Alligator mississippiensis: one gene and its partner. The protein of the gene in region 1 interacts with the protein of each later gene in a pairwise test. Links are inferred from orthologs where the notes say so. Each region holds a gene or a part of one and is shown on either strand. Other genes may lie near its edges. The genes, in order: ANKRD13A and QDPR.

What was found.
Region 2: the proteins of ANKRD13A (region 1) and QDPR interact in a two-hybrid assay, tested with the Homo sapiens proteins (2 studies listed by BioGRID). The two-hybrid records come from large-scale screens. The link is inferred for Alligator mississippiensis from reciprocal best matches to the Homo sapiens genes ANKRD13A and QDPR.

Annotation. Positions count from the first base shown.
Region 1 is NC_081833.1:2,079,766-2,095,967, reverse strand, and holds the start of ANKRD13A (ankyrin repeat domain-containing protein 13A), read left to right. Parts: upstream 1-8,769; 5' UTR 8,770-8,922; coding exon 8,923-9,018; intron 9,019-11,468; coding exon 11,469-11,601; intron 11,602-11,793; coding exon 11,794-11,918; intron 11,919-12,344; coding exon 12,345-12,390; intron 12,391-13,163; coding exon 13,164-13,307; intron 13,308-13,843; coding exon 13,844-14,039; intron 14,040-15,257; coding exon 15,258-15,324; intron 15,325-16,202. Other genes in the region: ARF GTPase-activating protein GIT2, read right to left, coding at 601-713, 2,254-2,387, 7,906-7,957. UniProt on the Homo sapiens protein: Ubiquitin-binding protein that specifically recognizes and binds 'Lys-63'-linked ubiquitin. Does not bind 'Lys-48'-linked ubiquitin.
Region 2 is NC_081825.1:34,318,823-34,335,320, reverse strand, and holds the start of QDPR (dihydropteridine reductase), read left to right. Parts: upstream 1-10,008; 5' UTR 10,009-10,105; coding exon 10,106-10,210; intron 10,211-10,286; coding exon of another isoform or gene 10,287-10,324; coding exon 10,325-10,417; intron 10,418-12,560; coding exon 12,561-12,657; intron 12,658-15,482; coding exon 15,483-15,623; intron 15,624-16,498. Other genes in the region: CLRN2 (clarin-2), read right to left, coding at 240-502, 949-1,128, 5,211-5,463. UniProt on the Homo sapiens protein: Catalyzes the conversion of quinonoid dihydrobiopterin into tetrahydrobiopterin.

The DNA of each region.
Region 1 (16,202 bases):
TGTCCCAAAAGGTTTGGAACACCCTGAACATCTGATTTCATTCTGAGCTGTAAGTGCTTAATACCATTCAGATGAAACTGTTAAACTAATATACAAAATTATATTTAAAAAAACCCCTACTTTTTAAATTACATAGCTGACATTCTGTAAATACTGATTGATAAAAGGAGAGCAGAAGATGGTTGTGGCATGAAATATGGTTTGTTTTTTTTAAAGGCACTACTCAACTTATGACAGATGGATACTGTTAAGGCATGCCTAAGAATGAAAAGATTCTTCACTCATATGTGAACATTCACTTCAAGGTTTAGGTTGCAAAAGCTTTGAAAGATGCTTTAGAATTAAATATGTTTAAACCACATTGCTCACAGCAAAGTTGATTATTTGATCATCAAGGTTTAAAGATCAATGACTAAGAGAAGACGGAACTTCTTCAGACCTGTTCATATAACAACACTTTCAACCATATTTAAAAACTGAAACAAGATCAGCTTCACTTGCCCTTTTGCCACCTTTGTCACAGCTGGTCAAAAATAACTGCATTTTTCCAAAACGTCTCCTGCAACTATAAAGAGAATTTTATAAAAATATTCAACTTACTGGACTTTATCCTGTGGGTTAGCTTTGCGCCTTCCACTCATAACAGATGCTGGGTCTAGCAAAGAATGTTCCCATATGGAGTTAGCACCATTATTATACAGTGTTTCAACCATCTGAAATTCAAAACATGTACAACAAGCATTAAGTATTTTTACTGCTACTTGCACAGACAGGATAACCAAGACCACACAAATTTCCCAGTACTTTGCCAGTACACTTCCAGTGCAGGCATGCTATCAGCAATATCTTATTTTTAAACCTATTAATTGAAAAACTCTTGGCATTCTTTAGGGAAAAAAAGATGAACAGGATCACGTGAACAGACCAGAAGAGTAACAGATTTGTCCAGTTCTGTGCTAACGTCTATGACTAAAGGGAATGTCAGGAGTGGCTCCTTTGCATTCACAAGTAAGAAGCCCTTCCTTCAAAGGCCAGAGATAACAGGCTGTGCACATGAACTTAGATTTTCTCCAGACAAAATTGCTGAAATCAACACATTTTTCCAAAACGTTTTATTCTGGCAGAAACAACATTTTTAATTTAAAAAATAGACCACAGAATTCCTGATCTGCAGACTCCAAACCGCTACAATATGCATGCTGTAGAAAAGTGGTAAATTCCATATATTTAACCACCTGCTAATCAGGCTACAGACCACAGCCAAACTGTCTGGATTAATAGTGTATGGGTGGGGTTAGGGTCAAGGTAAGTTTAAACTAAAAGAACAAAGCTGCATCTGTTAAAGTGCTGGTAAAGGATCTTTTAGGATATATAAGACAGAAGCAGTGAGAAAGCAGAAATGAAAACAGAAAGCCTAGAATTAGATCCTCCCCCCACAGCAGTGAAGATTTATGCTCTTGCCAACAGTAGCTTTGGGGAAGAGGAAGGGTTGCTGCATGTTGATAACTTGCACTGAAACACCTGCAGTAATCTAAAATGGCTTGAAAGCTACTCGCTAAACCAAGAGAATTTTAACTGTGCTTCAGACTTTCCATTTATCCTAGATGCAAGTCAAGAATTTCACAGGTAACATTTACTTTAGTAATGCACTACATGGGGTGTTAAACTCACTCTGGGCCTGGAACCAAATCAACTACACAGCTCCTTCCAGGGCCAAATCAGGAGGCTGCGTTCAGGTAGCAGCATGGGTCTGGTCTGTGGCAGTGTGGATCCAGGACCATGGGACTGCAGGCAGCTGCATTTGGGCAGTGCTGAGCCAGGGGCTTGAGGAGACACAAAATCTGGCCAAAGGCAGCTCCATACCAGTGCACATCCCTGGCTCCATGCAGATGCCCAGCCGAAGCTCTGTGCTGCTGCGTACTCTCAACTCCACGCTACTGCACACCTCAGGCACTTGCAATGTGCTAGTTCAGCACTGCTGCTCGAATGCCTGAGGCTGGCAACATTGCCAGGGGTTCACAACTGTGCAGAGCTGAAGGCATGCAATTCTGTAGCCTGCTGGACTACCAGTGGGCTGGATGCAACAGTTCTGCAGACCGGAATCAACCCACAGGCCTTGTCTGACACCCCTGCACTACAGGAAAGGTAACAGAAACCAAGCATCTTTTAAAAAAAAGCTTAAGGGAGCAACCATCCTCCCAAGAAAGTTTAGTTATTACAGAATTCTCTAAAATAGCAAGTCTCATCCTTTACCTGCAGCAACGTTGGAGGCCATGGTGTGTGTTTGAGATGCCTCACTTGTGAGATATGACGCCCCAGGCTCCGATGCACGCTACAGCACTCATCACAAATTAAAATCCCCCGGTTTATTGATGCCCAACAAGGGTCTGGAAAAGAGTTACACATGTTATAACACGGAGACAAACAAGTTCAATGGTAAAATGCTACTCCTGGTTTTCTAATTTATTTGCTATATGAACTTGGGCAAATCACAACCTTCGCAGACCTCAAGATGTTGGAGGAAGAATGGGTCTTGTATGTAAAGCGCTATATTGGGTTTCAGGAGATCTGGGTTTTATTTCAGCCTGCCACACACTTAAGACCTTGAAGAAAACCACTCTGTGGCCTCAGTTGCTCATTTGTAAATAGGACCCCCTGTCTTCCTCATATCAGATCCATTGTAAGGCTAAAACTAAGCAGTTCCCAGATACTGCTGTGATGAGTTCCAAAGAAATGCCAGTAAAGAGCAAATTCCTACCCTGCTATCACAGGAAACTATATCACATAATTCCCTTAATACACTTAACAAGTTCCTTAAAACCAACCAGATTTCTTGCCTTATTATTCCTACTAGACAGCTACTGCTGCAAACCATTTGCAAATTGTTCACTCTTATAATTGAACATATTCAGCTATCACTCAATACTGGCCACTTGGTCACCCCTGGTTGAGCAAATAACCCTCACAATTCATGGCACAAGTAGATTTTAGTAGAGATTTGGAAAAAAAAATCCTACTGAAAACTGGTAATTTAGAAAATGCTATCTATGAATGAAAAGTAGCGTTAATGAAAGCAGGCAGACATTTTTGGTAGAAGTTGTCAAGTATTCATCAAAGCTTTGCATCAGTGGCAGAGGAAAGGAGTGATTTAAAAACTGAACCTGATGCAGTGGAACCAGAACGAAAGTGGAAGGATTCAAACAGGGGACTGTCATGGTAGCACAAATGAGCCAAGGCGACGTTCTTTGCAACTGATGAGTGTTGGAAAGGTCAGACAGGAAATGGACACAATCACTAATACATGGACCTACTTATGGGCCCAAATAAGAGCTTGAGAGGACTGAAGTGTTAGGTCTGGAAGTTTTTGGAAGGAAGCATCAGGATTTTCACAAACCTGGATGTGCCAGGACCAGGAAGATGGAGGAGTGGGAGAAACACTACAGGTAAAAGGCCTGAATCACTAGTAAAAGGGGAATTGATAGCATGTGCTGAGAAAAGAAATGGTTAAGAATTTAATTTGCCTTAGGAGTTACTGGATTAACTAAAGGTGTTACTTCAAACAGATATAGTTAAAAATCACACACAAAAAAGAAGCGCTGCCTTTTAAATTCAATTTAAACACAGTTTATACAAGTTATCTTAAGCTTGGGGGACAGCAAGTCCCAGGCAGGCCACAGATAAGAGGTGGAGATGTCAACTTACACTAAACAGATAAGTGAGGTTTAAATTGATTTAAGTGTCTACACCATGTCTTGCTCTCATTTAACAAACCTGTTTGGGGTTTTTTCCCCTCATTTAATTTACAAACAGCCTTGAACAACTTTAAAATTCTTTTGATTAAACACTGGATATAGACAAGTTTAAATTGATGGCAAGATATTAAGGAAGATACAGTGGGGGAAGAGAGGGCAAGACAAGTTCTGCTATGCTTTCAGTAGCACTAGAGAAGAATTCAAAACAGGAAGTAAGACATGATCAAGACAAACTTGCTAGTTGTTATCAACAGACTTTGAAAAGTGAATCGTACGATTATACAGAATGCAAAGTGTGCTGATAAAGGACACAGCATCGCCTCATGTCAAAACGAACAAGTAGGGATGGAGTGTTTTGTGGCCACGATTAGCCAAGAGATATGCAAGAAGCAAGGTTTTTTGGGTGATAGCTTTAATTAGATTAACTGTACAAACTTGTATACAGCTGGTTCAATAAAAGATATCACCAAAAACATTTGCTTTTTGCCGTACAAATGTAAGATATTATTTTGAGGGGTTTATAAGGCATGAGTGAACAATTATTTGTCAAAACTAAACAAAGGAAAAATGGGCCAGGGAAAAAACAAACTGCTGTACAGAAATTCAAGCAATACTGTGGTAGTGATAAGTCCCTCTATGTTCAATACATTTAAGCAGCGTAAAAGCAGCTTTACAATAGAATTAGGATAGGACTGATAACATGGGACATATGGTTGTGACATTAATTACTGGGTAAGAAGAAGGGTAGAGTTGTGGATATATCAACTCTGGAATCTTCATTTATGATGCTAAGAAACTGAATACAGTAAATCCTATTTTCCAGAGTCTTTATCACCTAAGGAAAATGGAGATTAACCCAGGGGAAGAAGGTGGGCATCCATTTGTTTTTACAAAACTTTTGAGTATTCAGTGTTTACCTGTATAATATAATCTTGTAATTTATTTTGGTGTTACATCTGTCACACCATTGATCTTGAAAGAAGCACAGCACAACACAAAACACAGAGCATGAACTGCATAAACCTGAGAAAGATGATTTATAAGCTGGGGTAGAAAAGATTATTATGAGTAGATATAAATGAAAGAATGACAAATATATCTGAAGTTTAAAAAGAGAGCGTGCCTTCTGGCATTCTAAAAATCGTTTTTAAATAAAGTTTTCAGAGTTTCCCCAGTTAGTCATTTGGACCAGTCTTCTGACTTATGTGCATAGCTTTACCCATTTGAGTTGTTTTATTAAAGTTAACAGGACTGCCCAAAGTACAGCTACACATGTACATAATTACTTGCAGGACTGAGGCCTAGAAGTATTTCTAAATATTCCAAAAGCCAGCTCAGCTAAGGTGACTTGAAGTCAGCATCACTAGTCTAGTGCAGGAATCCTCTCCAGCAAAACCAAGAAGAAACTGACTAATCTAATGTCCCTATTCAAACCTCAATGAAATGTAACATACACCACAACAGAATCAACTCATTTAAAAATTGAGACTCTTCAGTTTTAACAATTCCTTTTGCTATTAATGTCACTGAATATGTTAATTTTATCTTGCTGATGCCCCTTAAATAAAAAGTACTCAACTATGTAAAACACCACAGCGCTAAAATTAAGCAGATGTCATCAACCTGCGACTAATGAAATCCAGAAATCCAAGCATAAATTCAATAATTGTAAACTGCAAGTTGTGTTAAAGGGCAACAGCTGTCAATAAATTCTTTGTTCCTGGATGCAAATTCAGTGTTTATCCAGTTTGCAAAGCAAACGTCTCATTCCAATAAAGGATGGAATTGCTGGTGGAATATTCGGATTTTATAGAAATTAGATTCATGTTTAAAAGGAAATTCAACAAATCTCATTGTCATTTCTAAGCTCACTATCAGAGGGGTAACTCTACGAATAATCTCTTGCTATGCTAAATACCAATACTTCTGCGCTGGATGTTATTTTAGGCCATCTCACTTGCTGGAACACAACTCTCCTCTGTGCTTGCTCAGCCTTCAAGTCTATAGGTCACTAACACACAAAATGAGATACAGCCCACACTTGTTTTAAAGGGACAGTGAACAATACTTAGCACTCTTAAAATTAGTGGACCCCTCAATTGGAGCTACAGGGAATATTGCTGGAACTCACATTTTCTGATATTTTGAAGCAGAAATTAGGACTATGTATTAGACTCTGGAAACCTTGTCAATAAACCTGACTAAGGGATCAGCTTATTAAAACACTGCCCTACATTATTTCTTTTCTAACTAGTGTAGGAGAGACACCATGACAGAACACTGCCAACAAGCTCCTGACCACGCTGAACCTCCATCCTATGAATGCTGAAATTCACCTCCAACAAAGCCCACAGGATTCTGGCCTTTTTTCTTACAGTTTGACAACTCACAGATGGCTTATCATGCCAGTCATGTATTTAACTGAGTTGTCTAGAAGTGAAACTCTCTTGAGCCAGTACTGACACACAGGAAAGTGCAAAAAGGAAGCACAAAAAACAAAAAGTAAGATTACAATTCTAAAATTCTTCCATGTTAATACTATAAACATTTTAAACACAGGTATGGGAATGCACTGAAAAGGGGGACTTATCTGGACAGCATCCTTATAAGAGGAGTCACAGAATTAATTGTGCCATGATTGTTTAAACGGTTTGGTAAATTCCACTTATATCCATATTAGATAAGTGCAAAACTCCTTTAAGCGTATAACATGATGCCAGTCTTAACATTCATCCTAGCGCTTGTATTGCAACAAGCACTTAACATCACTTATCTGCACAGGTCAGCACAAGCAGCACTTATCTGTATACGGATAGATGTGTAAACCCACCAAAGTCCACAGGAACTCTTCAGCGTTGCTGTCTGTTTTGACCTGGGACTGCGTTTCCTTTCCTGGCATCACTGAACTGGGAGTCACCAATTCCCAGGCCTCTTCTTCTCTCCTATCCTTCATTTCCCCCTTTACACATCATTAATGTGGCCGAGCCACACAACTGCTTTATCACTGACGCTTCCCAGGTCCTCATCCTGGTGTGCGGGCGCGCTACACACGGGAGGAGTGGGTCAGCAGATTCACATATTGGACTATCCTTTAAACCAGTGGTTCTTAACCTTTTTTGTACCAGGACCCATTTGTCAACGTCGACGGTCAATTCTGACCCAGTACCTCTGGGGCAGGGAGTGGGTGTGTGGGGCACGTGGGTCCACAAGCAGCCCTCCGCAGCCTGCGAGGGAAAAGCCAAAGCTTCCCACATTTTTCCCCTTTAAAGGAGAATCCATTTTAAAAGTTTGCATGCAACCCTTTCGTATATTCTTGCGACCCAAGCCAAACTTATAAGGCGCGGCTCCGGAGCAAATCCCGTTTCATTTAATCCACAAGTTGCGGGGCAGCTCGTACGCGGGCTGAGGACGATTCTCCTCTCCAGCGCTTTGATCTCATCCCGCTTACCGTGGTGTTGCTCAAGCGCCCCTAGGCCGCTGCGTGCGTTGCACGTGCCCGTTTTGGGTGTTTACGCCTCACGCGGCTGCGTTTCTTAGCGATTTGTATAGGGCGCGCTCACTCTCTGCTGTCAATTGGACGCTCTTTTAATTGCCGTTTGACTTCTAGAGTCTCTCAGACGCTATATAAAGTGCGCGCGGTACAGCCTCCACCCCGATGCTGTTTTAATTGCCGTTTGCCCTGCACGCTCTCGCTAAACACGACACAAAACGTGCGTGTATAGCCTCCACACTGGGAACACTCCTTTAATGAGCGTTTTACTTCCATATTCGCACTCAGCGCTGTATCAAGCGTGCGTGGTGTCGCCTGCACACGGTCCGTGCTCTTGTACTTGCATTTTCTCACGGCGCGCACACCTCGGCCGGGCCCTGCCGCCGCGCCCGGGCTGCGAGCTGTCGCGGGGCAGTGGCTCCTGGACCCCGAGTCTGGGCAAGCGCCCCCGTCCCCCCGCCACGAGCGCGGGTGCAGGGCAAGCCCGGGAGCACCGTGCTTGGGCCGTTAAGATGAAGGCGTGGTTGTGTTTGTTTCGGTGAGAAGGCAGGTGAAGCGTCCCCCAGGTGTGCGGGCGCGGGCCCCCCCGCTGCAGGCCGCGCTTGCCTGAGGGGAGCTGAGGGAAACCCACCTCCCGGCACTTGCACCACCCCCCGCGCCTACCCTGAGCGCTGCAGTCGGCGCACACCTCGCTGCTCCTCAGCCGCTTCGACATGCCGGCGCGGGCGGGTGGCGGGCGCGGGGTAGGGGGGGCTGGGGCCGCTTCCTGCCGCCCTCACGGGGCCCGGCCAGCAACAGGCCGCACTGCGCAGGCGCACACCAGCGCCGCCATTCAGCAAGCCGCTGGGGCCGGTGCGCGCGCGCGTAGGGCAGGGAGGTGCTCGTCACGTGACAAGTGGAGGGAAGGGAGTGAGGCGACTCAGGAGCCATCTTAGCTCCTGGCACCCGCGTAAGTGGGGCAGGGGGAAAACCGCGGCTGCCCTCACCCAAGATGGCCGCCGAGGCGCTTGGGCGAGAAGGGCCGCCCGGCCCTTATTCAAAGAGGCTGTTAGGAACTTGCCCTCACCCAAAATGGCGGCGCCGGCCACCCGGAAGTCTTAGAAAGGCGGAAGTAGCCGATGAAACCGACGCTTGGGTGCGGGCGCGGGTGGGGAAGCGGCTTCCGCCGCGGGCAGTTCCCTTGGGGAAGTACAGCAGGGTGACGAGCTGCCTCCCTCCCTCCCTCCGCCCGCGGGCAGCGCCGAGCACTGATTCCTCTTTCCCTTGTGGAGTGGAGTGCAGTGCGGGGCCGGCTATGGCAGCCGACGAGGGCCCCTCGCCGCGGGGCCCGCTGATTCGTTCCGGCCCCTGCCCGGGAGAGGAAAGTTAGACGGGGACAGGCGGAGGAGGGGGCTGGGGGAGCCCCGGGGGGGGGTGTCTCTGGGGGTCCCTGAGACGGGGGGGGGGGAGGTTTGAGGGTGCCTGAGGCAGGGGGAGGGTGCCTGAAGTGTGTGTGTGTGTGTGTGGGGGGGGGGGGGTCTCTGAGGGTGCCTGAGGTGTGGGGGTGCTGAGGCTGAGGGGCCTGGGTGCGTGTGTTTGGGGAGGTGAGTGCAAGCAGGGTGTCTGCCCCCCCTCCCCCCGGCCAGGGCTGGGGGTGCCAAGCAGGGGAGAGCAGGGCCCTCGGGAGCGCCAGGCAGCAGGATGAGTTCGCCGGGCAAAGCCAGCAGCAAGTACCCGCTGCACGTCTTGGTGTGGAATAACGACTACCGGCGGCTGGATGCGGAGCTACGCGAGCAGGTAACGAGCGTCCCGTGACGCACCCTCCCCGGGGACGCGGCCGGGTAGCGTAGCGATGCGTGGGACCGTCGGGCTGTTGGGGCTGCCGACGCACTATCGGTGATGAGAAGGGGCCGTTACGGGCAGGCACCGAGAATATGTCTGCAGAGATATCGCCGAACTTGTTAAATGCCGTCTGCTGATCTTGGGTGGGGAGGGTTGGGCTTGGACCCGGAGCCAAAAAACACACAGATGCGATGGGCCTTAATGCTGTCTGCTGAGAGAGGGCCACCGCAAGCCGTGCGCGGCGACCGGTCTGCCGGGACCTGAGCAAAACTTTTTTTTTCTCGGCATGGCGTGCCCGGGCAACCAGTAGCTCACTGAAAACTGCTGCTGTTTTCCTCGCACGCTCTTGAATCGTTCTCTGCCCTCCTCTCCACTGATGGATGCTATGATTTTTGTTTTGCAAAGTCAGTCCTTGCAGGTTAGAATACAAACGTCCCTTTTTCAAGCGTAGTTCTTTGAGCTTTCCAGGTGGAGACTTAGGGTCTCAATAGCTGAGTATGTTTGCTCCGGTGACAAAACGTACGTGATCGTCTTAAACCACCCAAATCTGGTAGGGCAGGTGTAAAGTGGGCACACTATTAGCATTAAAATACAGACAGAAATGGGTTCGAAATCTGTATCGGAGCCCAAGCAGTTGAAATGATCCAGTTGTTGAGTTCAGATATTGCCATTACTGAATTCCAGTGCAGCTCCAAATACTGAGATATACTTTATTAATACACAGCTAAACAGCTGGGATTTGTGGCACGGGGCACCAGTTGGCAGACACATAGCCTGTTAATTGTATTGTTCCTGATACAGTGGGTCCATGCACCGAGTGTCAGACAGTGTCACCTTGTGATGCTAATTAGGATGATTGTCTGCACTTTGCTGGTGCATTCTGAAATGCTAATATTTGTGTAAAGCTTGCTTAGGTCGTCTTTTTTTCTTCTTTCTTTGAGTGACTCTTTAGGATGCTGTGTACTGTATCTCTAATTCTTATAATCTTCAGTCTGTCTGCAATATTTCTTTTACTGACACATTGGTTAGGGTGCTCGTTTCTTTATGTTTAAATCTTTATTAAAATAATGTTACCGTCTTTTAAACAGTTGTACCTTAACTGGGAATATTTTAGCGCTAGTTTATTCTGGTGATTTGCATCGTTGTAATTATGGCAATGCAAGCAGGTCCAGCTTCCTGCCCCCAGTGCTCTACAGCGCAAGTAAATGGACTACATTTAAAGGAAGGGAAAGAATACATGCACTAAGCTTGAAGTGTCTTCTTTAAATCAAAGATGTCACTTCTGCATCCTCTGTTCAAACTGCTTCTTGTATGGGACAGATGTGCTGTGTGTGGCAGAGGTATTGAAGGAAACTCTAGCCAGCCTCATGAAATGACTAATGCAATGCACAGTTCCAGGTTAACAGCAGAAGAGAAATGAAGATAACTGATCCAGAATCCTTGTTTTCACTGCATTAGGCACTACAGCTTGGAGAAACTGAGTGAAGATCGCAAGGGCTGCTGTACTTAATCACAGCAGCGAGAGATGAGGATGCTGTAATTCAAACTTTCCTTACTCTTCGATCTTGGTGTTTCAGACTTAATGCTGTCAGATAACCATTTCAATTTGCATAATATTCCTATCTTATTCCACTATTGACTTTTCCCCTTTTCCTTTAGTTATAGATCTTCTTCTGTTTCAGATCTCTAAAGCTAGTAGTGAAAAATAGAAGTAAGGTATGAGTATGTTGTGCTTGCATGTTTTGGGTATTTATGCCTCATGTGGTTGCATTTCTTAGTGATTTGTATAGAATGCACTCACTCTCCATTGTCCTGTGTGTCTCAGTCAAACTGATGCTCTTTTAATTGCCATTTTACTTCCATATTCTCACTAAATGCTATACAAAACGTGCATTGTATAGCCTATCACTCACTTCTGTGATTTTTGGCTGATTTAATGTTTTGTATGTCATGATACCCTCTAGTGGCCACTTTAACTGGTGACTAAATAAATCAAAGTTACAAAGTACAGAGAATGGAACCCTGCCATTTCCTGAAAAAATTGTGCCTGCAGATCAGGAGGGGGGAGGAACCTCATATAGAGCTGGCTGCTTTCTCTGCCTCCCAACACCCCCTTTTCCTCTTACTCCCAATCACTTTTAAAAGAGTCCAGTCCTATTCCAATTGGATTTCTGTGAAAGCCAGGCTTGTAAGAGGACAATTAGGCAATTCAACAGGGGTATCAAAGCAAGTCATATAAGATAAAGTGACTGCAAACCATGAATGGTTCTGTAAGAATACATAATGCATACTGACCCATTGTAGCTTATCGCTGAAAAGCTTTGTATTATCTGTCCTTGGTGTCTTCTGGTGATGGGGTTTGATTGAATGGTCTCAGCATCATTTACCTCTTGGTTGTTCAACAGGATGTTGATCAACGGGATCCACGAGGCCGGACCTTGCTGCACCTTGCTGTTTCCTTGGGATACATAGAGTCTGCCAAAGTCCTCCTTCGACACAAGGCAGATGTTACCAAAGAGAATGCCCAGGGATGGACTGGTAAGAGATTAGATTGCAAGTGGAAATTGTCTGTTAATAACCTTTGCGTTAAACCCAGCACCTCTGAAATCTGGCCCTGTGTGTGTCGTCATGGACGTTGCATGGCTTGTCTGCAACATGCGTGTTGTAGGCGTTCTGCTTTTTGGCTAAAAACAAAAAATGCACCCACCTCCGTGTTTGGGCTTCTTTCAGTTTTGCATGAGGCTGTCAGCACAGGAGACCCAGAAATGGTACACATGATTCTGCAGCATCGGGACTACCAGCAAACCTCAATGACACTTGGAGGGGTTCCCGAATTACTCCAAAAGATTAATGAGGTAAATATTTAATGAAACCTGAGTTGCAGGCTGGTCAAGTGCCCTTTTGGGAGCTGCTAGTTTGGTGTCAGTTAACTTAAATCAGCTTGGGGATCGGAATCAATTGATCTTAAGTCAGGATGATGGGCTATTCAATTCAAAATTACCTCTCCATTAACTCCATGTAAATCCGTAGTAACTTAATTAAGATGGGTACAGTGGAAAAGTGTTAAACTATTGCAGGACAATGTCTTGTTGTATGCCACCTTATTTTGATTAAATGTACTGGTAAGTTTTATCTGGGTAAATGTCACTGTGGGTGTTGTCAGTGACATCTCAGCCTCAAATGTTTCTTCTTTCTTAAATGTATATGACAAGTCAGAGCTAAATACTGAGTTAATATTCTCTCCATTTTTGGCTTATTTGAAACACCCATTTTTATGCTAGACTCCTGACTTCTACGTGGAAATGAAATGGGAATTCACTAGTTGGGGTAAGTGTCTTCTACAACCTCTCTTACCTCTTGTAACCAGTAGAAATGCATGCGAGTTTCAGACTTGTTGAAGTAAAAAAGTAGGTTTGCAAAGAAAATATGTATGTAGAACCTTTACTTTCTTCCTTTCTCTCAAAGTTTGTTAAGCATGAAAGATTTCCAGCCTATTTTTCCTGCTATATAAGCTGTTAGATCTTTGTTAATGCCTTTTTTTTTTTAATTGAACCCTATGGCACTTATGTTGGTGGTTGCTGAAGCTTTTCTAAGGATTTAGCTGTCCCAGTGCTTCGTCATACATAAGGTGATGAGGCAAAACTTATGTGGTGGTGCCAACCAATTTAGGAAGCAGTTTATTCCTTCCCGTTGCAAAACTGATTATGTGCATTATGGGTGACTTCTCTTTCTTCCCAACCACTGAGTATTCACCATTGCTGGACAGAGGACAAAAAAATAGCTACAATTAATTATTTTATTTAGTGTCTCATGTCTTGCCATGTTCACCATAAGTGGGGAATCAATTCTGATAGTTCCTCTGTTCTTTGTTTAGGTATCAAAAAACAAACTAAACCAAGAAAGACAGAGGTTCATAGCTCTTGGGACTGAAAGGGATCATTTTGATGATCTACTTTGACCTCTTGTGTAATGCAAGCCATAAAATTTCTTTAAGGAATTCCTGGATCAAGACTAGAACTTCTGGTTTGAGTTTGATCCTCCTACTCCTTTCTTTTCTGCTAAGGAATTTTACATTTGAATCTCTGTCTTTTTCTTTATAGTCCCACTGGTTTCCAGAGTATGTCCAAGTGATATCTGCCGCATCTGGAAAAGTGGTGCCAAGCTTCGAGTTGATATCACGTTATTAGGCTTTGAAAATATGAGTTGGGAACGAGGAAAACGTAGTTTAATTTTCAAGGGAGAAGGTGAGTATTTTTAGCCTGTCTCATTTATTGACTGTCAGACAGCATGAGGCCTACAATATTTTTCAGAGTACATGTTATAATGCTCAGCTTTATTTTCACATCTTTCACAGACTTCTTCATGCTGAGAAGTGCTCCATCTGGCATTTCAAGTTTCTAAGCAGAACAGAAGGGCTGAATTTTCCTTCACAAATTCTTCTGGAGCAAATATAGGAAATCAGATTAAAACTTAACTTTAGAACCACAGAAATAAGCATTCAGCTACATTATAGATAGATATATATATTTCCCAAATGTATTAGGGTCTTTTAATTCTACTTTTCAAATTACTCTTAAAAATGACTTGGCCACCTACATAATCTGCTCATCCATCCTTACTAAGATCATAGTGGTACTTAAACAAATCTATCACTTGTCCCAGACAAATGCAAACCTGACAAAGTTTCCTTTGTCCTCACTTTCATCCCTTGTGTGAGTCCTGGATACCTCTTTACTGAAAGTTTGTAAAATCTAGTCAATTATATCTATTCTTTCAACAGATACTGGAGGCTGGGCAGAGCTAATTGAGATAAACCATGATGATAAGGTTGTCACAACAGAGCGTTTTGAAATCTCCCAACAAATGAAGCGTTTGACATTGGGCTCTATGACTCCAAAAAGGAAGGATGTGGAAAGACGCCTTACATCTCCTATTATTAATACTTGCCTTGATACAAAAAACATTGCTTTTGAAAGGTAAGATATTTAAGCTTTTCTTAATGAACAAATCCTCCACCTATGCAGGATTATGCTTGCAGTATAACTTTAAAAAAAGAATCTTGTAATAGATTATCTTGGAAGTAACCTAGAATAATACCCTAAACTGCATATTCCATTCTGTAGAGAATGAGCTGAAAATCATAACATTTACTTCTGGCCTTGCAAACGGTTTCCATTTGGTGAAGAGTCCTTTTGCACTGTAACACTTGCATTTCTACATTAATGGGGCCAGTTTTAATATCTTCTGGTTTCAGAAATATACACTTAATTGCCAACACAGCAAGAACGAACCATATGTGCAGTGCTGACGCTAGTTCACAGTCTGTGGGCTGACGTTGAGGATCCAATAATAAAGTTTACAGCTTCAGTTTTGACTTTGAGCTTGATTGATTTTTAGCTTAGTCCTATGTAAATGATAGTAATAACTGTACTAATACTGATAGAGAAGATACTAGTTTGATAGTAGAAGCACAGGAGCTACTTCAGTGCTGCACCTTTTTGGAGTGTTATGGGGTATGACAATACACTTAAGTATTGCTGTGGGAACATTGATTAACTTCAAGGCAAAAGTATTTATTAAAACATGGTGCAGAATTACAGCCAGTGTGAAAGATCAGCTGTCAAAGCTCATTGCTTCATTCTATTGGATGTGTGAAGATTTTCTTCCTTGAGTGCTACTTGGGGAATAAAATTAAAACAAAAAAGCCTCCAAATCCTAAGTCCTGCTAAAAGCCAGTGAATTTTAGACACGCCAACATTTACATTGTTTGTGAAAACCACCCTAAAGCTTACTGACAGCAATCAGCCTGGCTTCCCAGTTTCCAGCTGCAAGTTGCCAGATAAAATTAAGCTAGCATTGACTCTGACAGTTGTTCAGTGGTTCAGGAGAGGATGTGATGCTATCCAGAAACTCCAGTTCCTTGTGGCTCGAGCTTTCCTGTTACAATCAGCCTGCTAAATATTAGCCTCTGCACTTCCATGGAGATATGAATAAGAACAGAAATGGACTCAGACTCATTTTTCGGCCTTAGATTGGAGAAAGATGTTTGTGTTTGTTGTACCTGTTTTCTGGGGCTTTGTCTAGTATCTTGCAAACACTGTTTGGCTGAAACATCATTAGAGAAAACATGGGTTGGAGGATAAATAGATATGGCAAGTTGTATATAGATACTTGCGGTGTTCACTTTTTATCAGAACTACATCTGGATTCTGGGTATGGAGGACAGAGAAAGCAGAAGGTGTAAATGGTTATGAAGCAAAGGTAAGAATCAGTTCTTTACAACTAAGAGGTCTAAAGCTAATTGGAGTGCGAATGTGATTGTTCAATATTCCCTGAGTATCTTAGCGTTAAAATCTTCCTTTAATGTCCACAACCGTCTTGATTTGCCACATAAACTGATAGGGTGTGAGACATTTCAGATGGGATGCCAAATACCCAGGAGCTTTGCCTGTGGTTGGGGATTGAAACAAGTGCTGGGAGGTGGGGATAGTGCCAAAAGAAGACGGGGGGAGGCTGGGAGGGATGTGGGCAAATGGCTCTGATCACAAGAGCGTTTCCCTCCAGAATGCGGAGCTCAGCTATTACTTTAGAGTCTCAGCATTCTCACAGTGTCAGAAAGCAGTAGAACCCATCAGCAAAATGTCATCGCTAGCCTTTTGCTGTTACAAGTTCCTTCAGTAGCTCTATTAGAGTAAGACCGGCACGGATCTAGAGTTTGTCTTTCCAATGAGCCATATGGGGGGGAGGTTAGCATGCTTCCATATGATGGAATTCCCCCCGCTCTGATTTTAGTTTCTCAGAAGTTAGAAATACCAGGTCCTGCGTGACCTTACTTCACCATTTTGTGCATGTACATTAAGACATACTTTCTAATTACATGATCAGCTGTACTCTGGATATGTAAATTGCTAAAAACTTTGAGAAGCTTATGTTTTGTTTTTTCCAAATTGGACATACACAGTCAGTCAAGGTGTTTTACTTTAATCTCTGGTTTATTTGCCCATGTGAATAGACATAACGATAACACCCACAAAGACCCTTCTCATCAAGGCATGGGAAGGGAACTTCTCCGGTGTTTGTAAACAAATTGGGCACTACAGTGAGAGCACCACTGATCTTTAAGACAGCTCTGTTTAGTG
Region 2 (16,498 bases), on another chromosome or scaffold:
GCATTACTTTACATATTGGATAGCTTTTAAGCAGTGCGGATGTTGTAGTTTGTTTTCCAGCCAATGCTATTGCTGGTACCATTAACTGGCCTCAAAATACTATGTATTCTGCCAGTAGCAATTTAACTGTTTATGAAACCAGAATTTCCATCCAAATAAAAAAAATTACAGAACCAAGGAGCTGCTTTTAATCACAACAGTTAACTTCAAAAAAACTAATTTTATGATGGAGAAGGTTATTAGTACATGATGTCTTCTGCTGTAACATTTGCCTCTTCTGTTTTAGTCTTAAATTCAGGGAAGCGAATTGCACTTAGGGCTATTAGCAACAAATTTACTCCATGAGCTGTAGCACTTGCCACACAAAGCCAAAAAGAGCCTTCATACTGTTCCTCCAAGACTAGAAACTGAAAAATTTCCTGGAAATTGGCAATTCTTTCTGTGAGATGATGAAGTTTAACAGCTGCTATAAAGCTAGCGACTGCCAATGCTGTAAAGCCACCTGCAACAGAATGAAAAAGGCATTCATCATCATTTTCAAAACAAGTCGGATGTGTTGGATCCAATTTAGGAGAACATGACTTAAGTACACACTTCAAGTTAAATGTATGATTGGGTATCCAGAATGGGGATGTGCTTAACATGTGCTTAAGGGTCTTCCTCTATTGTAGCCTTTATTAGATATGTGATTAAGCATCGCACCTTTCTTATGTTGCTATAAAAGTGCTCTTGCAACTGATATTGAGGCTGTATATGAATTTTCTGTTCATGAAGAACAACCTATACTAGCATCTGAAATGCCTTGTATTAATTTTACTACAGTAGGTACAAATTCAATGCAAACATTTATCTTTTATTAGAAATGTACATACGGGACAAGCAAGAGGTTTTAACATGTGGACACAATTTAGTGTTACCATTTATTCACAGTAGTAAAAATTATTTTACCTGCAAGTAAATTCCATAGGCATATACCTGCTGGACCTTTAATAGCTCGATATGGAACCTGGATTATGTTGAGAATGCAGAATCCAAAACTGATCAGAGCAAAAGAAATGGCGACACATAGGAAGATTATAATCATCACATGAAGGCCTGTATTCAGCTTTTTGACCAGATGTGGGAAGACTGTCAAGAAAAAATATTCAGTTATTCAGCATATACCTTTTTCTGATTATTAAAAGTTAACCTTATATTGATTATATAAACTGATTTATGCTCACTGTAATAGGACTTTATTTACAAGTAAACTTGTAGAAACAGCTGTGTTAGTTTGTGATGGTTGAATAATCAGATGGCAAAAGTAAAGGAACGAGGATGTTCTTACCTGAGAATAGTATTCTCTTATAGTACTTGTGTTGGTCAGGGATGCAGGCTCATGTATTCTTGCCCTAGTTTTATTAAGGTCAGTATTATATGAGACTATACTGGAAAATATATTACTGTATATTATGTCTATTAAACAGTAAACCCAAACAAGAGCACCAAATCTGAATTTCACGCACTTTGATCTTCCCAGCTTGTCCTATCATTATTGTAAGCGTCAGCCAGAATTCTAACTCTAAATATTCCTGAATTTTAGGGAGAGTTCAGATTGAGATCGAAATGTCATGCCATGAGCTTTAATTAACATATATGTATATTATACTTATAGCAATAATAGTGGTATTGTCTGAAGCTACAAACTAAATTATCTGCCTGCTGCTCAACAAACTTATATGAGCAACAAGTGAAGTGTAGATGAAAAACTTGGTTCCTTTCTTTGAGTCAAGTAGACCCACAGTTCAGCAAGGTATTTAAAGGCCCCTTACTGGAACCATTTATACTTAGCATTACGCATGTACTTAAGGATGCCTGTATACATGCAGGGACACTGCTCTGACATGCTTTAATTACACCGCATCAGTGGAGTGTGCTAATTGGCACACTCCAGAAGCCTCCATGTCTTGTGTATCAGTGTCCGTGCGCTTCAAAATGGCAGTGGGGGCACTTTAACTAAAGCTCATTCAATGACCTTTAGTTAAAGCCCCCACCACCATTTTGAAGTGTGGGGAGGCTGAATATACCAGATACTGTAAGTGCTTTAATTAAAGCGGCTCCCAGAGCTGCTCTAACTAAAGCGCCCCCCACACCCGGAGCACGTGTAAAGATGCCCTAAGTATCTTGCTCAATCAGGTCCACAGTCACTGAACAGTAGGTTCAGTTGCCCTGAGGCCTCCTTGAGGTCCATCCAAGCCCAACCCTGGGCATCTTGTGGAAGCATTGTAAAACCTTTTTATTTAGGCAGGCTTTTAGCAAATGGGGTTAAATTTTGGGGTATTTGGGGAGTTATTACTTACTATTTTATTATTTTACTTGTTTATCTTATGTTTATGATAAGCCATCCTGGGCCTTTTTGGGAAGGGTAGCATATTAATCTAATTAACCCCAGTATATGGCTATTAAAGACACAATAATTAATGAGAATGAACAAGCAATTTCTGCCTTGATCATATCAGCAGAAAAAATAAAACATGTTGCAGTATTATTAAGGTTACTCATTTAAGCATTAAAAATTAGGAACTGCTACATTTTTTCTGTACCTCCTAACCAGCATACAGAAGTTACTTAAAGCACTGTAGATTTAATACCTCATTTAACAAGGGTTAATTTTACAGCACTGTACCCATTTTAAAGTGTTGTAAAGCCATTCACTTCTGTTAAGTCACAGCAATAAAGCATTTTAAATGGCAAAAAAAGCAACTTGTGTACACACCTCCAGTTAGTGTCAATCTCCAGGCTCTGGCCTACCTTTAAAACATTATTACTATAAGGCCAGTGTGCCTGAACATCCCTTTGCTCCCAACCCAATGTTTCTTTTAAGGTAATTGTGATCTGAATTTGTCTTAGTCTCTATTCTCAGGTTTCCTCTGCACCAGGTAGAGGTATAGCCATTGTCTGCTCAAAGTCCCCATCTATAGAATGTTTTTCCTGGACCCTGATTGTGCTCATTAGAGACCCTTAGGACTTCTTTCCAGGCATGTTCCCAAGACATTTCTATTTGGGAGCATTTTTTTTGGGTCAGTGACCCAAAACATTTTTTTGGGTCAGTGACCCAAAATTTTTTTGGGGGGTCAATGACCATATTGGCCACCCGTTTCACTATCTATTTATTTTTAGAGTATTTTTTGCTGAAGAAAAAGCTAGCTTTCTTGAGCATCTGTCTAAGAGTATTCAGTTAGGGTTGGTCTGAAATTTTTTGAAGTAACACATGCAGGACTTCTAGTAACTCCTTAACTTGGACAAGGTGCTCGTGAATTTTGCCTCTGCTTCCCAGACAATGGTAACTTCTTTCACCCACCTGCAAGTCCTCACAAATGCATTGTTTTAGAGCCAAAGACCAAATTTTCTCAGAAGAGAACTATGGGGCATTTAGAAAATTCAATCTATACTGGGGCTTATCAAGGACAGAGGAGATGGAGAAGACAATAAACACCCTAAATCTAGCCCTGTATAACCTTCAGATTGCTCAGGGAAGTGATAAGACTATAACGAGAATCTATTTATCTCCTCTTCAAGCACAGGGTCAGAGAGGATGTCCCCCTGGGGGAATGACCAGTGGGGTTCTGCACCCATTTCAGAAACAACAATAAGGGTCTATACTGCCTCCCTGTGGCGCCTGAAATCACCAGGCTTGGACAGGTCCTCAGCATGCACCCCAGTCTTGCTCTTGGGCTCCTTTTCTTGGGAAACGGTATTCTCTCCTACGGCCTCCTCAAGCATTTTGCCTCTGGCAGGCTATGGGCGAACAAAATGGTTCTGGAACATCTGTATGACTGCCACATTTCCACTCCACACTGGAGCTGTCCCTCTAGGAAAGGTATCACCACTGAGTCCATAACATCTAATCTTACAGATCTTTTAATTCATTTTTTGAAAGGTATATCTCTACTATATCCATTGACTAAGTGACTGCATTTTTTTTTTAAAGGCCCAGTCCTCCCCTGCTGGCAGGGAAAACTCCCACTGTATCCTGCATTCATGCGGGGGGTGGGACCTGATAACCTTAAGGTCCTTTCCAATCCTATGACTCTATGGTCACGGGAGTTTGGCTTACATAAGAACTGCAGCTTTTGGTCCTCTGACTACTGTATCACAGGAGTCACAGTTGAACTAGTCTATTTTAGTAATTCACAGTAATTCATCAAAAAGTCTCTTTATCAACAGTTGGATTCGCCCTACACAGTTGTGCAAATGACCAAAAGGAGGCATAAGCTCCCCTTCCTCCATTCCACTTAGCAGCCAGCAAGGCTTATCCAAATAATGAATAATGGCATGGATGGGTAGGTAAACTACATCTGCATGCCTAATGCTCTCTCTTAGCAGTGCAAATAAGAGAAAGGCAGAGATCAGACATCCATGACTCCACCTCCTATCCCTTACCCTTTAGAGAAAACTGGACAGGGGTAGGAGTAGGCCGTGCCTGGTAATAAGACAGCATGACAAGGCATTAGCTGCAGTGATTAGCTGAAGCAAGATTTGGTCGTCAAAAATCCACAAGGTAGAAACCAAGCCACGAAACTTCAGCTCCAGTGCTATTTCTACCTTAATGTGGATCTGAAGGCTAAGTAGTCCACCAAAGGTACAGACAAGCCTCTAAACGGTTTGAAAGCAAATGCCTCAGGAGAATACTAGGTTTTACATAGAAAGCTGAGATTTGTCAGGACTCAACATCTCCTCCAAAATTATCAAGAAGAAATGGAAATATCTCCCAACCCATAAAAAATGAAGCCAGAATATTTGCCACGGCATGTGTAGTATGGGGTACCTAGAGAGCAGCATGTAAAAAACAACTGGAAGATTCCTTTGGTTCAGTAGTACTTACTACAAAGGTGGTTGTGGTATGCCAGAAGTAGGCACCAGCCTTTACATGGGAATTACAAGAAAATCTCCATCGGAGTTCTAAGAAATATTTTTTCTAATCCTGCTTTTACAGTGATATGGCATCATATCCAAGAATATAAATGAAAAAAATATATAAATAAATTAAGCCCGAAAATACATTGAAATTTGTGCCCATATTTCAAACCATAAAGACCCAAAGTAGAATGAACTATAGATGTGAGCTTAATAACTATTTTCATTCTATGGGTATGATAAACAAAAAAATTATAAGGCTTTTAAAAATTATTTACACATCACTCAATATATTCAACCAAAACTTTACTTACGTGTGAATTTGGACCGCCGCCCACCCAACCCACACTGTCGTACTTTGCCCCCACGAAAGAGTCCATAGTAAATATCTCCAGTGAACTTGACTAGTTCTGGATCTGTGGCATTGACCAAGTCAGCTCCTGTTTTACAAAGAATTTTTCCAGTTATCCACTTTTGGGTTCCCATCGCAACAACAATCAAGATAAAAGACACAAAGCTCATTGCAGAAGCCAGTGCAAACAATGTCTTTTTAAAGCAGCCAGGCATCTTAGTAGTTTCAAGGAATCCTCTCCAAGGCCTCTCTGCAGTAATTAGATATATTTTCCATTTTTCTGATGCTTAGAAATCCACAAGTGGGATGCAAATTCTTCAAAACATAGACTTTTATATCTCATTGCACTTTTAAACTCCAGAGGCTAAACTGAATGGTTAAAAATCAAGCCCGAAATGTAGATTTGCTGCGACAACATCCTGAAATGGTTGCAAAGAAGAACTTCACTACACTGTAGTGCAGTGGAGCTTGTCTCTGCAGAAAGTAATCCTATATCTATTGCACGACTATTGTTTCATCAGAGGTTTAATTGACATACTCAAATGACATCTATTTCTTTACCATAATCACATAGAAGAAACTTAGATGAAGGATCCAGTTTTTTTAGATTGCTATGACATTTTAAATATTTGTGGGCAAGGGACACAGAATATAAAAAATATATTATTGGCACCTGAATTCTGCTGTCATCTCAGCTGTATCAAATTACTTTTTCCTGGTGCTTGCCGTGGTGCTTTTTTTTTTCTAAATGTCAGCACTGTCCCTGCTATCAGAACTGTTCATAAACTAGAAAATGATAACCCATTCTCCAAGCTTGGTAATTGAAGTATATAAATAGTGTTTGATGCTGCACAGACTTGTTATTAGATTAATCTTTGGAATATAAAATGAGATGCAAAACAATTCTTTATGCTTGAAAAAAGACAAATGCCAACATTCTTTTTAATATATTTTAGCAATGGAGCTAATGCAGGCACATACAGAAACAGACACAACAGGCTAAAAGTGCTATCAGATAGGACTGAAAAGCGACAATAGTTTGCACTTCTTTACTGCCTTTCACTCAAGGACTGTGAAGCTCTTTACAACTATTAATTAATTAATTCTCACAACATCCTTCTGAAGTAGGTAACCCAACACCCTACTGACTGCAGCCCAAACAAGTTGTGGAAACACACTATTACTAAGGTGGTGTCTTTTGGATGAGATGTAAAACAAAGTCTTCACGGTCAGCGGAGGTCTCAAAGCAATACAGCTTTCAATGGTTATGTAGTTATGTTTTAACCTTTATGTCTATATTGTTATACTGTGTCCATGACCATGGAATATAAGCACTTTAAAAATGTATTAGACATTTCAGACACAATACAAAATGTACTTAAGGCATGGCAGCGCCTTAAATTTAGGGGCTTTATGTCTAGAGTTTGATGCAAATTGACAAGCTTACACAACTAAGCTTTATATACAGTGAATGGGAGACCTAGATCACGGACACATATATTTGGAGTGGCTTCAAAAGAGGAACATTTTAAAGGGGCAGCAGCTGTTAAGTTTTAATTGTTACTTGTGGACAAATTGGGAAATACAAACCTCCAATTTTAACACTGCTTCATCAAGGGCTAAAGCTGGAGTGCTTTGGCTATGAAGTGTTCCAAATGTAAATCTGGCCATACCCCTAGATGCCTTCCAAGGATAATCCAGACCATGTAATTTGGGACCTACCTAAATCACAGCAAGACAAACGGTTTTTTGCAACCCACTCATGGTGCACAGAGCTGATATTGTGGGTATTTTGTGGCAGCCCAGCCCTTTGGTGCTGATTGGCAGAGAGGCCCCACCCCTCGGTGCTGATTGGAGGAGGAGGGGTGAGGAGGCAACTGCCATTTTGATTGCTGGATGTCCTTTGTGCGGCCCCGCCCCTAGGCACTGATTGGCGGAGAGGACCCAGAGGGAGGAGAGACGAGGGGGCAGCTGCTAACTTGTCTGCTGCCCTTTGTGCCACCCTGCCAGTGAGCACCTTTCCCTCCTGGCAGCAAGGGCTGCTGGCTCCCACTGGAGAGCCAGCATTATATTCTTAATTTTTTGTTGATTTTGCAGATTTTGTGGACAATCCCAGATTTCAGTTTCCATGAAATCCACAAAACCTCACAGCAGGTAGGTCCCTACACATAGTCATTCGGCACAGAGGTGCTTACAGCTGGCCAATAGGAAATCCTAGGCAGAGTGGCGTGTCTGAATTCCCATTTATCCTCAGAGTTTAGACACCTGATTCAGGGTGCAAGGGAAGTGTTTTGGTCATCTCAGGATATAGACTGTCCAGCAGGGAGACACCTGCCTGGACCAAGACCCCTAACTGACAGCTGCACTGACCTCAAGAATGTGCACAGCATGACATGTAGGGCAGGGGTGTCAAACTCTCTTTCTGCTCCAGGTCAGATCCGGACTGTGGGGCTCCTTGTAGGCTAGATCTGCAAGGGGCTCTGGCTCCATACATGCAGCTGTGGCTGTAGCTCCTGCTGTATATCACATACCACATGCTGGAGTCAGAGCTGCTGCTGCTACCATGTACCTCATGATGCACCAAGAGCTCCAGCTCTGGCACAGGGCACATGGCAGTGACAGCTCCTGCATGAGGTATGCTGCGCAGTCTCAGGGCCAGTGACTGAGGATAGGGCCACAGCAGTAGCAATGGGTGAAGTGACCGGAAGGCCACTGGGTCTGTTTCAGCCCTCACTCGCTCTTCTGCCAAACTGGCATATCCACTGGGGCTCAAGATCCCCAAATTCTGCAGCAGGCCACTCCTCCCTGGCCATGCCCTACAACTTCTGGCTGCCCACTTGGTAGCCTGCTGGCTCTGATAAAATGGCTCTACATGCCATGTTAGATACCTCTGCCCTAGGTCCTCTTCCCCCTGAGCAGGGCCAAACCCATATCTTCCGATTCCCAGGACAGCGCCCTAACCACCAAGCTATAATCTAGTGTGGCATGGAAACCTGGCTTCAACGTTACTGTCAGGATAAATTTGCACCTTTATAGACCAACTCAGGGGTGTCACAGATCCAGGCCCTGGGCCCTATCATCTGGTCTTGGGTGCTGCCCATGGGTCTGGGCATAGGCAACTAGTAAGGAGGGCATGGGGGGGGGCACATGCCCCTCCTGACAGGGCCATCCCCGCCTCCACCACCGCTGGCATCTGCAAGTCATCCCCGCCACTGCTGGCATCTGCAAGTGCTCAACGTAAACCTGACAGGGCTGTTCCTGCAAGTGGCATCTGCAGATGCTCGCCAGATCTACCCCTGCCACTGCCGGAGGCGTCTGCAGGACCTTGCCAGCTCTGTCCCTGCCACTGCCGGAGGCATCTGCAGGAGCTCACCAGCTCTGCTGACGCCGCCCCAGACTCAGGAGGCACCAGTTGCCCATGGGTCTGGGAGTGGACCCACGTGTCACTGTGGTGTGTGAGGGACCAGCCCTGCATGCTGCACAGGAAGTGGGGGCTGGTGTGGGGTGCACCCTGATGGCTGCACTCTGGGCCGGTCCTAGGCACACAATGCCAGCCGCATTTGCGTGTACTCTGAGGGCCCAAACTGGCCTGTGGATCAGCTCAGTGCCTGATCTAGCCATGGATCAGACCTCACTCACCCTCTTGCCACAGACAGCCACATTTTTTATTTTTTTTTAAGGAAAATTTTTCGTGTCCTAGGTCAAATTAGCCAGATCAGGTCCAAATCTGTTTGACTCATTCAAGAACCATATGTGGCTCTGATACCGGTAAGCGTCATCCACTCCAGCCAGGGGCTTCAGAAACCTCCAAATCCTTTGTCAGGAGTCCTATGTGCAAGCCCAAGTGCGGAAGCTTGGTTTAGATGCCCCTAAGCCTCGTTTGCCCTCCACCGTATGGCTCCAAGCGCAAGCTAGAGAGGAGTCTCCCATTTCCATACAGTCCATGTGCAGCCGAGATCCCCTCGCTGTAATTTGGTCAGTGGTACGCTAACTATGAAGCTCTCGTAGGGAGTCCTGCCTGCAAGCAAACAAGGGTGCAACCCTCCACTACCCAGTGCCATATTAATTGTGTTACCTCGGTCAAAGTATTTTCCTTACCACCATCATGGTCATGGTATTTCTCCTGCCACATCCTCTCTCTCTTTTTTTTTTTTTAGGAAAACTTTTCATGTCCCAAGTCAAATCAGCCAAATCGACTCCAGATCCCTGAGTCATTCAAGACCCACATGTGGCCCTGCTAATAGCAAGCATCCTCCACCCCCGCATGGGGCTTCAGATGCTTCCAAACCCTTTGGCGGACATCCTGCTGGCGGGCCCGGGCCCAGGCCCAGAGGCTCGGGGTTCGCTTGCCCTCAGCCATCCCGCCGCAAAAGCAAGCTAGGGAGCAACCTCCCATTTTCACAAAACGGGCTTTAAGCCCCAGCAGGCCGGCCGGCGGGTGCTGAACCGCGCCAGAACAGCGACCCCCGCCAACGCTGCCTTCGTGCACCCGGATCCCCGACGTTTCCCTGCCAGGCGGGCACAGTGGCCAGGCCAGCACCGCATCTGCGCGGCCGAAAAAGACCGCCACATCCCCCAGAGCACAAGCCCCCTCCCCCGTGCCCTTGCCACCCCGGGCCTGACGAAGCGGAGGGGCAGGGCAAGCTGTGGGCGTGGGCGCGGGCGCGGGCTGTCTCCGGCACCGCCCTCCCCGCGGGAAGGCTGCTGTGAGCGGTCTGAGAGGGACGCGCGTCCCCCGCCCTCTGCCCACTTCCGGCAGCTTCAAGCGCAGCGGCTCCGCTCCGCTCCGCTCCGCTCCGCTCCTCCCGGGGCAAGAGGGCGGGAAGCGCTGCAGCGGGCCGGGCCGGGAGCCTCAGCATGGCGGCGGCGGCGGCGGCGGGCGAGGCGCGCAGGGTGCTGGTGTACGGCGGCGGCGGGGCGCTGGGCTCCACCTGCGTGCGCTACTTCCGAGACAGGGGCTGGGTGAGCGCGCGGCCGGGCCGGGCCGGGCCGGGGCCGGGCCGGGGCCGGGGCCGGGGGCGGGTGGCCAGGCACTGACCTGTGTCTCGTTGCACGCGGCGGCGGCGGCGGCGGCAGTGGGTGGCCAGCATCGACCTGTCGGAGAACGTGGCGGCCAGCGCCAACGTGCTGGTGAAGAGCAGCGAGTCCTTCCCGGAGCAGGCGGAGCAGGTGGGTCTCTCGAGGGAAGAGGAATCGGGACTCTTGGCCGGGGTGGTAACTTTTACGAGACCAACTAGACTTTTCCACAAAAAATTAAAAAACAGAATTGGTAGGTTTCAGGGAAAGCGGTTGATCCGGAGCGGGAAGGGGCAGGGGCAGGCCAGGTCCTGCAGTCCCTGTCACTGGGTCCGTGGACATGTTGGAGGACCCCTGGGCCCCTTATTTTGAACCTGTGGCCTCGCGCCCTTCCTGCTTTTCCTTTTACTTCCCCCAAGAAATGCGTTGCTACTTTCTCAGTAGCCCCCTTCTTTAAGGGAGTCCAGTCCAGTGCCCTGCCTGCAGGAAGGCTCCCGTAGGCAGTCTGAGGGGCACGTCCTCTGCCTCAGCCCCAACTAACGGGACTGGCTTCTTTCCACTTCACCGGCAACGCCTGCGGGGCACTCCCTTTTTTAGGGAGGCTTATAGTTTCCCTTGGTGGGCATTGGACCATGATCCCTTTAAGCAGCAAATAGGCCAAGTCAGTTTTTCCCACACTTGCAAAACAAAACTGACCGATTCCTGGTTGATTTTTGCCCTTTGCCCCCAGCAGAATTGTGCAGCATTTGGGTTGCGAGTTTTGTGGAAACTGTAGCTTGAGTGGCCATGGGGTCCTGCAAGCCACAGGCGTGGCCAGAGCCATGGTGCCTGGGCAGTGCCATGGGAATGGACGTGACTCCCATGAGCTCAGGGGTGTAATCATTCACTGTGATTTATAGAACTGGTCTCTAAAGCTCCCCCCCACCTCTTTTTTAATATCACAAAAAAAAAAAAAAAATCCATAGCCCCAACAGAAGCATGCAGGCAAACCTCAAATTTACCACCACCACCCCCCCTTCTACCCCCATGTTCTTGAATTCAGTCTAAAGTTCAGCTTTGAATTGTGCCTCTCCTAATCTGGTTTCCTTATTCAATAACTGGCTTGCTGCAACCCAGGTGAATTAGGAGTCTGTATTTTGTACTGCAGCTAGCCCACTGGCAATATTGTCATGGTTTGGGCACCCCTTTGTTGCGAGGCAGGTGAGGCTAACTGGGACTGACTGATCAGTGTGACAGTGTTTCTCGGAGCCCTGACCTTTACAGTTTACTTCATAATTTGGTCATGTAAACCCCCAACTTCTTAGGTTCAAATCCTGAAATATACTGGAGGCAGATGGATTGCTAGATTTACACAAAGCACCAATGAAGTTGCTAGGGCTATGTGTGGGTTCAGCTTGCCCACATGAGAATAGTGACCTAAATGTTGTTTTATTGAAAAAATGGTTTTGCTTGTTGCCAGTGTATGAGTGTGTTCCTTTCACCAGTGCAATTTTTTTTGTGCTCTTGTAACTCAGAAGGCATTACAGCTAGATTATGGAGCATTTCATGCCGCAGATTTGTTACTCTTCTTAATGCCGAGTGCTTAAAAAAGAAATGATGTGGTCTTATTTAAGGCTTTTCATCTAGAAACCAACCTCTTTGTCTCCAGTGCCAAGTAGCTGGCACAGCAACAACTGTTCTTGGTGTAAAATCCACAGACATAAAATTCTGTACTGACAGGCAAATTCTTAAATTTGGGAGAGGACAAGAAAGGCCAGAGAACAGTTTACGAATTCCTAAGCTACAGGTGTAACCCAGCCATCATTTATGTAGAAGCTTTATCCCTGAGAAGGCTATTTAATAATTGTCCCTTTCATAATTGTTCACTTCTTACAGCTTTACCTGAAACATGGTAAATCTACTACTAGTTCTACTACTAATCTGGAGAGTCAGTTCTTAAATAGTATGCTAGGAATGACTTTTGTCACTCAACCAAGAGCCTCTCTGTGTCTGTATGTAGCAACCTAAGTATGGGTCTGATTTTTGTGGACTTTTTCTGTGTGAGTTTGTCCCATTGATGTCCCCTCATATGCAGCTGTTAATTAATTTGTTTTCCCTTTTTGTTTTTATTATTTGCTTTGAGCAGGCAGAACCATAAAGCCTAACTTTCTGCAGCTGCTTAAAATGCCATGTGTGCTGAATAATCAGTATAATGGAAAACAAAATAGCAGTGTTAAAGTAGTCTAGATGTTTGCATTTTTACTTCAGTGACTTGTTTTCAGGATGATTTTATGATCTCTTGCTTCATCTGTTTAAGGTGACAGGAGATGTTGGAAAACTTCTGGGTGAAGAAAAGTTGGATGCCATCTTGTGCGTTGCTGGAGGATGGGCAGGTGGGAGTGCAAAAGCAAAAGGTGAGGCCTCTGTTAATTGCATACATTACTGCAGATATATTAATGCAGCATTAGAAAATTCTGTAAAAGTCATCATTAAAAAGATCTTTCAACCTGAGATCTTTCCTTTTTGGTGATCACATGGAAACAAGCCTGATTGCTTAAACGAGTTTAGTGAAAATTGGAACACTTACAAGTGCTTTTCTTTATTATTGCTCTTGGTGGTTAAAATAGTATGGTAAGTGTGAATTATTATGCTTTCTCTTTCCGTATAGTATTTTTCCTCATTAGATCTCAAAGCACTTTGAAAAGGAGGTCAGTATCCATTTTCCAGATGAAGGAACTGAGGCACAGGAAGTGAATGACTTTTCCCAAGGTTGTGCAGCAAGTCAGAGAGAGAGGCTAGAAAAGAACCGACACCTTGCATCTGGATCCTTCCATAGTCCTCAGTGCTGGTTTACCATGATACTATAATGTCTTGTAGTAACAGGCGCTATGTACAAACCTAAGATTATTTTTAAAAATGAATCAAGGCCTTCAGCTTAACATTGAAATGTCTTGTTACCAAATGCTGGGATGGTACTTTTTAACTTGGGTACCTAGACTGGATGCGTCAAATAACATTTAATTCCTACCTGGCTAAAATGAAGTGGCAGGTAGGCACCCTCATCCTACTCAAACACTGAAAAGATGGCAATCCTTTGTTTTATAAGTATAGGACAATCGCATTTGTTACTGTTTTGCAAAAATATACAGGTATATGTGCACGCACATGTGCATTTGTATCTGGTGTGAACCAATACTGCACAATTAAAAAGTTAATTGTAAATAAGGCAGTAGATTGTAATGAAACTTGAAGTACTGTTAAGGCAACAGGATATCAAGGTGAAATGGGAATGTTTTGGGATAGGTGGTTATCTTGTCTGTTTGTTATACCATTTTAGCATATGTATTGAAGAGGTGTGTTGTAGGGAAATATGACCTTTTGGCCTTGAACACTAAATCAGATAACTTGCTTAATCCTTAGGACTCCCTTTCCAACCACTGCTATGTGAAAACCATTACTAACACACATCATTGCTGGATTTTAAATTTTTTTCATTTATATTTTCTACCTATATTCACATAATTCCTTTTTGCTGAAACTACAAGCCAACAAGTTTGGCACACAGATTCTGATCATGTCAAGTACAGTACTGATGTCAAGCAGGTTGTATCCCTATTTGAGGAACTGCCTGATGTGCAAAAGATATCCCTGAACAGTCTCTTTATGCCTTGGAGTTTTTCACCCAAGTACTAAATCCAGTCTTGTATACTTATATGATCAAAGCCTGTGGGAAAAGCTGCTTGTAGTCTGGTATTTATACAGTGTTGATGGCTATGAAGTTACAGGGAGTAAACAAACAAGAGTTGAAATCAAAAGTAGGCTTCTATATAACGCTGCAGAGCCCAACCCAAAGGTCATTGCAACAGATATCAAATATTTAAGAACAACATCTGTATTGTGGAGAAAAAAGCTATCAATGGCTGGCTTCACCCAGGTAATTGCCCATCCATGGATTAACCAGATGTCAACCATGACAGGTTGTGCGAGGCAGCACAGCTTTATTTTATTCAGTTTTATCATTCAAACGAAATCCTGCACAAGGATTACATAGTGAACTAATATAGTTACAAAATTAAAAGAAAAATAAGAATCAGAGAAATTGAGCGATACACGCAGGAGATTTTTCCCCTAACAATTGAAATGATCATTCCAAAAGGTAAGAGCTGCAGAAAGCTCTCTGTCACTAGTGAAATTTGTGCAAAGGGACTAAGACATGAGTATGATGTGACAGATGTAAGGGTGTCTGTGTCCCTGTCCATGTACTTGCTACAAAGTATCTTGGCTCTTATTCCATAGTAAGAAGCATTCACACAAGATGCTCTCTCAGGCTGGCTGCGAGGTGGTGAGGAAGCCAGTTTACATTGAGCAAAATACTACCCTGAGATGAAACTAACTAGGGGATCAAGTACATATTTGTTTTTCTAGTAGTTACTCCTCGCTTGTTAAGGGATACTTTTACCCCAGAAGGGAATAACTTGCATCAGCCTAAAGGTATAAAACATGTCTGCCTCACTATAACTAAATTAAGTTATATTACTCTGGGGCAAATGTGTAGTGTGCACTCAAGGCCTGTGATACTGATGGAAGCAAGTCCATAGATATTTTAAGAATTTAGGGCATTTTGAACAGAATCCAGAAACTAACGGAAACCAACAAAATACCCTGAGGTTGGGGGATGTGGTCAGACTTCTTATAGTGAGAAGTCTGGTAGTAGTACTGGACAGGTACTGAAGAGCAGGAACTGGAGGAAATCAAAGAGACAGGAGATGCAAAAGGCATGGGGAGAGGAGATGAAGGCCTAGCTGAGGGTTTTAGCTGATATAGGGGAAGGAGATGGTGTAGGGCAGATGTATGTAGTACTATTTCATTCTGTGTGATGGGAAGTGAGCTTAAAGTAGACCAGTGGTTCTTAACTATTTTAGACTTAAGGCACCCCTTAGAAAATGCCAGTTTTTAGTTTTTGCTATTTTTTTGACTATGGAAAATTACAGCAATTTCACTGTTGCAGTGAACTCGGAAAGATCACAGCAGGTCAGGATGTTTTTAATACTATAGATTTCTATTTGAAATCTCTGGAGGTTTTTTTGTGACTCATGTTTGCATACCTAACAGTGCTAACATTGTATAGCACCCTGGCGCACCCTTCAAAGGATCTCCAGGCAATCTGCTTGAGAATCACTGAACTAGAAAATGAGTTTTGTCTTCTAAATTTTTGCCTTGTAATTGTCTTGTTTACCAGCTTTATACAAAAATTGTGACCTGATGTGGAAGCAGAGTGTTTGGACATCAACTATATCCAGTCACTTAGCTACAAAACATTTGAAAGAAGGAGGTTTGTTGACTCTGACAGGAGCCAAAGCTGCTTTAGCTGGAACCCCAGGTAAAAAATAAAATATGTTGCTTGCTTTGATGTCTGTTACAATTGTTATATGCCACTTCTAATTATTCTCAGTTGAGAAACAATAGTTTTATTTCTTCTTTTTTTTTTTTACCATATTATGGGAAACAGCTGTTTGAATCGCTTCAGGAAATTTGTAACTGTTACAGATGGAAATAATACCAAATAGTTTGACGGTGTCATGCAAACAAAAGAACTAAGTACTTAAATCTTAGTTGACAGGCTTTGGTGAAACCTGACTTAGCATATGATAAGAATGCCTACAGGGGTTTTTACGGGTGATATCTTTTATTGAACCAACTGCATGGTTGGAATAAAGTTAGACAAGCTTTTCAATGTAAGGCATTCTTCAGGTCTGAGGAAAAAGCAAATGAAAAGCCTTACTTGCAACAGCGCAAAACTTTTTGGAAAAGGTTAAACTCCATATTTGCTTTTCTGAAAGGCAGAGTTCTTATTTACCTAGTTATTTCAGGTTAGTGATAACTCACCTGATATTATTGAGCATGCTCATCCTGCCCACGTTCTACTTCTAATGAACTTTGCTTCAGAAACAGACAAGGTTGCTGACCTTCTGTCTTGATCTACTTGAGCTGTCTAGTGTGATCCTTGAAAATGTACCTTGCAGTCTTTGATCACATTCCTGTTTTCTTGCTTAAGAGAAGAAAATCTGGCAGCAATTTCAAAAAATACATACTCTGGCAGTGGGAGAGTGAAGACAAAGGTTAACATCCCTTTAAAGCCAGAAAGATTATCATTAAAATTGTGAAATGCATTGTAAAACTAAAAACTGAAGGGAAGTAATTATACCTGTGTCTTTATATTTTGGAAAACTATTGTGTTTTCTAATTTATAATGCA